2 linked regions of the Caenorhabditis elegans genome follow. The protein of the gene in region 2 purifies or fractionates together with the protein of the main gene of each other region. This does not show direct contact. Each region holds a gene or a part of one and is shown on either strand. Other genes may lie near its edges.

Region 1 (4,627 bases), on a different chromosome or scaffold from region 2:
TGTTAGCCTCAACCAATTTTCAAAGAATTTTTGCGGCAGATTTCAGCTTTTTTTTTGCAATTTTTGAATAAATTTTGTATTTTTAATGGATTTTTCAGCGAAAAACTGCAATTTCGATTTGAAAATTCAATAAAAAATCGAACATAAAACCCAATTTTTCACTGAAAAAAGTCATTTTTTATCACAAAAAATATGGTTGAGGCTAGGAATTTTGTAGTTTGTAGTCTGTGAGCCTCAACCAAATTTTGAAATGATTTTTTAATGGTTTTTCGCGGTTTTTGTGCAATTTTGGAGTATTTTTTGAGTAAAAACTGGAAAATTGGTCAAAATTTTCGAAAATGTTTTTTTTCAAAACAAAGTTCCGATTTTTTACGTTAAAAATGTCGAATTTCAGCCTAGAATCGTGTATTTTAATCATTTTTTTTTCAGTTTTTTCAGTATTTCAAGATATTTCCAGTAATATTTACCATATCCTCATCATCCTCCGATTCCACAGGCTCTTCTCCTTCAGAAAGATCTAGCTCATTTCCAGATTCATCAGCTTCATCCTCTTCATCTTCAAATTCTTCTTCATCTTCCATATTATCATCGTCAAGTTCATCTTCCATTAGCTCCTTACGCCGTTCCGAATCGCAAAAGTCGAGAAGTACTGAAAATTTTGAATTTTAGAGTGAAAATTCAAGTTTTTATTAAAATTTTATATAAAAATGAAGATTTTGGCCAACTTTCTTGTATTTTTTTTTTATAAAAAAAAAAAAAAATTAAAATTAAAAATAAAAATAATAAATATTTAGCCTCACTTAAATTTTTTTTGACATTTTTCTGTCTAATTTTTGAATGAAAATTGAGGTTTTTTTTTGTTAATTTTAGATAAAAATGAAGATTTTGGCCAACTTTCTTGTATTTTTAATTGAAAAATTATCGAAAATGACCCAAAAACGGCGAAAAAACATCAAAAAATAATTTCAAAAACTGGTTGAGGCTCACAGACTACAAACTACACATTTTTCAGCCTCAACCACATTTTCTCAGTTAAAAATTAGGTTTTTAACCATTTTTCCAAACTTTTGAAGTCGAAACTGCAGTTTTTCGCTGAAAATTTCATTAAAATACGAAACTTGTTTAAAAATTGCAAAAAAAAGCAGACTTCAGCCTTCAAAATCCTTTTTAAATCTTGATTGAGGCTCACAGACTACAAACTACAAACTGTTTAGCATCAACCATTTTTTTTGTTGGAATTTTTCAGTAAAAATTCAAATTTCTGAGTGAAAATTCGAAATTTTTATGTAAATTCCAGGTTTTCAGGTAAATTCCTAGCTTTTAAAGACTACAAACTACAAACTCACAATCCAATCCATCACTTTTCATGGATTTCGGTACTTTTAGCTTGCCATCTCGCTCCTTTTTCTGCTCATTTACACCTAAAAGTACTCCATATTTACGAATTGCGGCGTCATCTTCCTCAGTTCCGTCGGCTTCTTGTCGCCGCTTTTTTGTCGCTGTCTGGAAGTGAAAATAGATGAAAATCGACAATTTTTGCATTAAAAATTGGATTTTTAGTGGGAATTTGTAAAAAATCTGTGGAAAAATTGAATTTTTCACATTTTAAATGTTTATATTTTAGCAAAAAAAGTCTAAAAAATTGGAGGAAAAAACCAAAAAATCAGTTTTTTTTCGGTTGGTTGAGGCCCAAACGATATTGTAGTTTGTAGTCTGAGCCTTAAATCTGAATTTCGTCGGTTTTTAGTGTTATTTCTCGATTTTTTGCAATTTTATTCGAAATTTCTGTCATTTTAACGTGCATAAACTACTTCTCCACCGATTTTAACCCAAAAAACTTTAAAAATTAGAGACAATTCAGAAAAAAAAAACTGTTAAAAAATAAATTTTCTCGTTGGTTGAGGCTCAGGAGTTATTGTAGTTTGTAGTCTGAGCCTCAACCAGAATTTCATCTGTTTTTAGTGTTTTTCAGGAATTTTTGCTATTTTTTCGCAACTTTTATCATTTTAACAAGCCTAAACGGCATTTACTTTGCTTTTGAGTTAAAAAAAAAACTTTCAAAATTCGAGTAAATTCGAGAAAAAACTATTAAAAATTAACTTTTCCCGTTGGTTGAGGCTCAGACGATATTGTAGTTTGTAGTCTCTGCGCCTCAACTAGAATTTCATCAGCTTTTTTGTGTTTTTTCTTGAATTTTTGCAATTTTTCGCATTTTTTTTGTCATTTCAACATTCCTAAACGACATTTACTTTGATTTTAAGTCTAAAAACCTTAAAAAATTAGAGAAAATTCGGGTAAAAAATATTAAAAATTAAATTTTCTCGTTGGTTGAGGCTCAGGAATTGTTGTAGTTTGTAGTCTGAGCCTCAACCAATATTTAGTCGATTTTTATAGGATTTCTTTGATTTCTCGTCATTTTTTCGTATTTTTTGGCAATTTTAAATGTTTTAAGCTACATTTTCCACGATTTTCAGACGAAAAATCGATAAAATCTGCCAAAAATAGCCGTTTTTTCAGTTTTTCTCCGTTTTTTTCGCATTTTCTCCTACCTGAACCTCTTCCATATACTGTTCATAGGTCAAATCCTCATCACTATCCTCAGAATCATCACCATACTTCCGTTTTCCCTTATTCACGCTCACTTCGACGATTCCCTTGCGATTTGTGGGCTTTTTCTGGAATTTTCGAGTTATTTCTATACAAAAATCATGCTAAAACCTCTTCTTCGTCTTCAGAATCTTCCATATCCTCCTCGTCATCGGAATCCCCGTCATTTCGATTTTTATTCTGCAGATATTCCAATTTTCTCTGCTCTTTCTTCGCTTCCAGCTGTCTTTTCCGTTTTCTCTTCTTTTTATCCTCTTTCGTCATTCCCATCGTCTCTCTCATCACTTGTTCTATCTGAAAATTGAATTTTTGAAGCAAAAAATCGCAAAATATACCGGAGTTCTCTGGGAAAATGCCTTTGCCTGCATTTTCTTGAGCTGTTTCGCGGATTTTCGTTGTTCCTTCCGCGACATTCCATCTTTTTTGAATAGTGGAAGCTTCATTTTACCCTGAAATAGTAAAAAATTAAAGTTTTTCGTTAAAAATTCATCGAAATTCGCTGAAAAAGATTAATCGAAAAAAAAAAAAAATAAATATTTGCAACGACACTCCGAAATCCCGCTAGTGCGCGTTGTTTACCGTAAATCCACAGCGCGTGTTTTTCGAATTTATTTCTTTAGTTTTTTGGTTTGCAAGCTTTTTCAAGCTTTTTCACCTAAAATTCCTAATTTTTTCAGATTTAAAAATGGGAAAACACGAAAAAGGAAGTTCAAAAGACTTGGCAAATCGAACAAAATCGAAAGGATTACAAAAATTGAAATTGTATGGCACTTTTTAAGTAAAAATTTAAAAATAATTAATTTTAAGCGATTTTTGTCGGTTTTTGCTGGTTAAATTGAGTTAAAATTAACGAAATATTCAATTAAACAGTTAAAAATTAATAAAAATGATTATTATTATTTCCAGCTTCTGCCAAATGTGCCAAAAGCAGTGTCGAGACGCGAACGGCTTCAAATGCCACTTAACTTCCGAAGCACATCAACGGCAACTTTTGCTCTTTGCCGAGAACTCGAATTCCTATCTCCGACAGTTTTCCAATGATTTTGAGAAGAATTTCATGCAGTTGCTGCGAACTTCGTACGGAACGAAGCGAGTTCGTGCCAATGAGGTGTATAATGCGTTTATTAAAGATAAGGTAAGAGAAATTTCAAGAAAACTTGAAGAAATTGCCGGAAAAACGCCGAAAAATGCATTAAAATCGGCAAAAAACCATTAAAAACAAGTTTTTGAATTTGGTTGAGGCTGAAAAATGTTGTAGTTTGTAGTTTGCCCATTTTTAAAAGGATTTTCACGATTTTTGGCCAAATTTCGTATTTTTTGCTCAACTTTTAGTGTAAAACTGCATTTTCGAATTGAAAATTCAGTTAAATTGGACAAAAAAATCCAGTTTTCAAGTGAGAAATGTTTGGTGAGGCTGAAAATGTTGTAGTTTGTAGTCTGTGAGCCTCAATCAAGATTTAAAAAGGATTTTTGCCATTTTTTCGAAACTTTCAGTGTAAAACTGCATTTTTGAATTCAAAATTCAGAACAATTGAACAAAAAAATCCAGTTTTAAACTGAAAAATGTAAAATTTATCTCAAAAAACTTTGGTAGAGGCTAGAAATTTTGTAGTTTGTAATGGAGCTCATAGGGGTCTCTGACCCTCACCCAAAATGAAAATTTATTTTTTTCGCTAAAAATTGGAACAATTTTGATTTTAAGGTTCAGAATTGAATTTTTAACGTAAAATATTTGAAAAAATTCAGTTTCCCGCAAAATTTTGTAGTTTGTAGTCTGTGAGCCTCAACCAAATTGGGAACATTTGGAAAGGTTTTTCCGAAAAAAAACCTTTAAAAAATTTAATTTTTGTTAAAATTTTCATAAATCCATGAAATTTTTATTTTTAAATAATTTGCGGTCAATTTCGTAGTTTTTGAAAATTGAAATTAGCCTAAAATTTTGAAATTTGTTAAATTTTTGTCTGAAAAACGGAAAAATTCAACCCAATCTGCAGTTTATAGCCTTCTAAGGACTACAACA
Region 2 (4,378 bases):
ACCGCTACAGGATTCGTATTACCGTTCCGAGCGTTTCGGTTTAAACAGGGAGAGGCTGTCAAGATTGAATGTGAGGTGAAGTACTGTGAAAAGTGTAAAAAGGTGAGATTTTTTGTTAATATTAAAAATTATTTTGGTAATATAATCTTCAACAATTTGTTGGACAACGCAACTATCAATATTGTTAGTTTTTTGTTCAAAAGTTCTAATCAACTCTCTACGGCATTGTTCCTAAAATCTGAGTTTATTCATACTATTTTCAGGCAAATTGTCCATCACGTAACCGCCGATTTACAACTTTTGATGAGAGTGAGGACACAACGTTAACTGGAAATGAAGATACTGAAAAAGTCCATGCCGAGCTTCTCGTTCAAACAATTGTAGACTCAACCCAATTAGATGGTTATTGCCTTCAATTGAACCGTTGGATTGCACTAATTTCCTTAACTGTAATTATAATTTCAATTCAATTCCTACTCGTGATCTATATTTGTCTCAGAAATCGTTTCCTCGATACAAAGAATATCTGATATGGGTGTTTGGTTTTTTGATTTTTTATTTGTTTAATGTCTTTATGTTCGGTAAGAACATTCTCATAATAAAGATAATAATACATGAATTGTCATATTTACACATTTAAAATTTCAGCAGCACAATTGACTTTCACTGGGAACCACGTACTTGATGGATTTTTGAACCTTAGAATATACTCTCCCGGTGCAACAAGTTTCTCGCCAAACTCTGGTAACTGAAAATACATTTTAGTGCAAATTCAACAAAACAGGGAAGAAACAAACCTTAAGACTTGTAACTGTGATCTTCGGCCAGATAGCCATCTCTTTACCAGCGTCTCGTTTAACAATCTCGAAGTCAACGTCTCCACTGGTTGTGTAATTCCAAACCAGTTTACCTTCCGTCGTAGTTTTTCTGTGAAAAAGGACATTATTTTCTCGGAATTGTTTCAGAAGGTGTGAATGGTTTTGTAGTTTTTGCACAAAATTTTCACGATTCTGTGCGAATCGGCAATTTTTGGAAATTTTCTCTCATGAAAATTATATGAAATGAAAACATTTTAATAAATAAATACTCTAACATAAAAAAATTTAATTGTAAGTAACATCAAATAAAATTCGATTTCCTCTAAATTTATAACTTACATGATATACTCTGATGTCTGGAATGCTTTTATCGAGTAACTCTTTCCTTTCGGTGCCTTGAGAATCCCGTTTTTAACCCAAATATACTCTTGTGGTTTATAATCTTCTTTGGTAATTCTCTTTGGTTGTTTACATGCTCCTTCTGGTGGATCTGCATATCCAGTATCATCACGATATGTTCCTCCATATTCGACTGGAATTGCCTCCGGCTCCAAATATTTTTTCAAATCTTCCACGTTGCTCAAGAAAGCTAACTTTTCTACTGTATTAGGGTCCACGAGTCGTTTAGTGACTTGCCACATGACGGATATAATTCCAGGTGGATTGATAAGAAGAAGCTTGCACAACTAAAATATTGAATTTCTCGTTTTGTTCAAGTAAAAACTGAAATTATACACTCACGTGTTCGCTGAAATATTCTGCCCAAACTTGCACCACGAGCCGTGCCAACTGTGCAGGTCCTGACAACGGATTCATGAAATCCATTAGATTTAATCCTTTCAAATCCAGAATACAGACGACTGAAGATGTTTTTCCTGTCTTTCTTTCAGTGTGTGCCATTGCTCTTGAAAAATTTTCTTGGAGCATAAAGTATGAGTGAAGAACATAGCTCAATGGCATCACTTTTAAAATTTCTTTGATATCAGTTCCTTCCATTTTTTGTACAAACACATGAAGATTTTTTGATGTGACTTCATAGTTAAGTTGAGAAATATGGAATCTCTGAAAAACAACAAAAGGTGTAATTCTATCCAGTGTTGGGAAGTCTCACCTCAAAACAATCCTTTCCAATATTTACGGTTGTAAAAATATCGAGATCGTTGATTTTTTCATATCCCATTAGTTTACGATGTTCGAATAACTGTATAATTTTCTGGCGTGTCTTTTCCACATCTCCATTATTTGCATTCAAAAATCTGGCAAAGAAGAATGGAGAATCGATTTTATCAGGTACGGATGGGATTGAAACTCTGCAAAAATTACTTTCTCAAAAATGGTTTTTCACAAAAATGTGCTGTAAAATGTTTTCAGGTTAAATGTTTTCAGGTGTTGTTGTTGGAAATTGGCGTCCAAAACCGAAATTTTTTTTTTGCTTTTTATTACTCTCAAATCCTCAATAGATTTATCGGAATGCAAGTCAACAATTTGAAAATGTCAAAAACTAGTAGCCGTTGCCCAAATTAAATGTCAAATTCACTGGAACGGAAAATTGTCAACTAAAAATTAAAAAAAAACTCACTTTAATTTTTCAGCCTTTTCCAAAATGTCTGCACTGAATTTCTTCGCTGTGATCATATCGTCAATCATTTTTGAATTTGTTGTTTCACGAGTGATTTCTTCGACAAAAAACGTGTATATAGCAAGGGACAGTCTAAAAAATAAATCTGGCTGTGGGAGGCGGTCTCCTAAAAAATGAAAAAAAGTGATTGATGGAGACAGGTTTTCAGATTAATATGCAGGAAAAGAAAGTCGTGCTGTTTTAACTGTTATCAGCAGTCATCACCAATTGATTATGTGATTATACATATAATAGTTATGTTATCATTTTATCACTAGAAGGGGCGAACACAATGGAAAAAAATGAGGACTTGATCAGTAGTGATATGACGTGTTAAATACAAGACATTCGGCGAAGGATGGTCGAGAGAAAATAATTTCGTGTTTTGTGATTTTAGAAAATTTTGGAAAAAAAGCGAAGATGCCAAACCTCAAGGTTGAATGGAACCTAGAGAGAAAGGTTGAAAAAAAGTGAGACCGAAAAAGGAACAATTTTAGATTATACTAGTAGTGCGCGGTCTCCTATAGTCGGTGGTTAGTAAGAGAGAAGTAAACAGGAATAGAGATGGCAGCAAGATGGTCAACAAAGGGAAATAGAGAGGTGTCGTTTAATACGGTAGTCACACATACACATAAAAGTTGAAGCCCCGGCTTGTAAAGAATGAATTGTTGTAAGAAATAGTTGAAGAGAATGAGCGTACAATTGTATTCAATGGGTGGAGACAATTTCAGATTGTTTTTCAGATTGTTGAATACCTTGTGATGAGGAAGGGATAGGTTTAATTGAAAAAAAGAATCAGGTGGAAAAAGGGTAAAGGAATAGAGAATGATGAACGTACAAAAATTTGGAAAATGAATTTGAAGTATTACACAAGTGGGGAATATTAAAAAATAGGAGGAAAATCATTTTTAAAACAATTATAAATTCGTATTTATGAATCGCGGGATTATTTAATCCACATAATATACATTTGAAGATAAGAGTGGATAAGATTGGATGAACCGTTCGGTATTTTCAGGTAGCTTATCAAAAAACATTTATTCAGTTATACGGCTGCTGGAAATTTTTAGTTGATGATTAAAGTAGACGTTTCATGCTTTGGTAATTTTTTTCTGCGTGATATTTTATTATCTCCATGTACTAGTTGTTACAATAATATCTCTACGTCTTTAACAACATCCCTGTCCAAATTATATCGTTTGTATCTGAAAAAATGTACCGGAAATTACCACACATCCATCTCATTTAAAGATATCCATTACTCAAGAGAATTTGTCCTTCTATAGCCCAATATTTTCTTCTTCATTGTGATGTCGTGTATGAACAAATCTGAAACCATTTCCAAACATCTCATTCAAAGCTCCACAGGGTATTCTCTTGTCCGCACCCTTGCTCAACCACAAAAATATAAGCATTTATGAAAAATTGGCGTATTTTCGTCTCCCTTTTCCATCTCTTCAAGGGGTTTTCACCACTTTCACCCAGTGCCACCACCAACAGAATTCGCCACTCACTTTTTTTCTTTTTTCTTTCTTCAATTGCCTCATTTATTCAAGGATGAGCACATACTTATGCTGGCGTTTTTGAATAAAAATTGAGCAAAAATGAAGAAGAATTCCGCATATTGGAAGAAGAGGAAGAAGAAGACTCCAAATGTTTAGTTTTGATGACTTGGAGTGAGAAATAAAAAAGAAAATTTTTAATTGTTTTGTTACTAAGTGTTAAGTCTCAGGATCTGTAATTTTTGTTGGAATCCATTACAATTTAAAATAGATTTAATATATTTTTCAGTTCTATTTCAATTTATTACTGATTTAGGACAAATTCGCTCACTAGGATAGTATTTCAGCTCATAATTAATGCTCCGAATGAAATCTATGGCAAGCTACAAAATTTTTTCTTAATCTAGTTGTTCCAGATTTGCAAATTTCTCTAAATGGCC

Evidence for each region. The genes of interacting proteins can lie anywhere in the genome.
Region 1: the proteins of T03F7.7 (region 2) and Y52B11A.10 fractionate together in Caenorhabditis elegans (co-fractionation; one large-scale study listed by BioGRID). This does not show direct contact.

What each region holds. Positions count from the first base shown.
Region 1 is NC_003279.8:11,037,485-11,042,111, reverse strand, and holds the start of Y52B11A.10 (MI domain-containing protein), read right to left. Parts: upstream 3,057-4,627; 5' UTR 3,051-3,056; coding exon 2,943-3,050; intron 2,902-2,942; coding exon 2,719-2,901; intron 2,676-2,718; coding exon 2,550-2,675; intron 1,504-2,549; coding exon 1,347-1,503; intron 650-1,346; coding exon 468-649; intron 1-467. Other genes in the region: dxbp-1 (DNA/RNA-binding protein Kin17 WH-like domain-containing protein), read left to right, coding at 3,293-3,369, 3,514-3,742.
Region 2 is NC_003283.11:11,309,609-11,313,986, reverse strand, and holds T03F7.7 (CRAL-TRIO domain-containing protein), read right to left. Parts: upstream 2,566-4,378; 5' UTR 2,466-2,565; coding exon 2,398-2,465; intron 2,129-2,397; coding exon 1,930-2,128; intron 1,881-1,929; coding exon 1,560-1,880; intron 1,505-1,559; coding exon 1,158-1,504; intron 928-1,157; coding exon 798-927; intron 749-797; coding exon 629-748; 3' UTR 542-628; downstream 1-541. Other genes in the region: cutl-18 (CUTiclin-Like), read left to right, coding at 1-102, 264-530.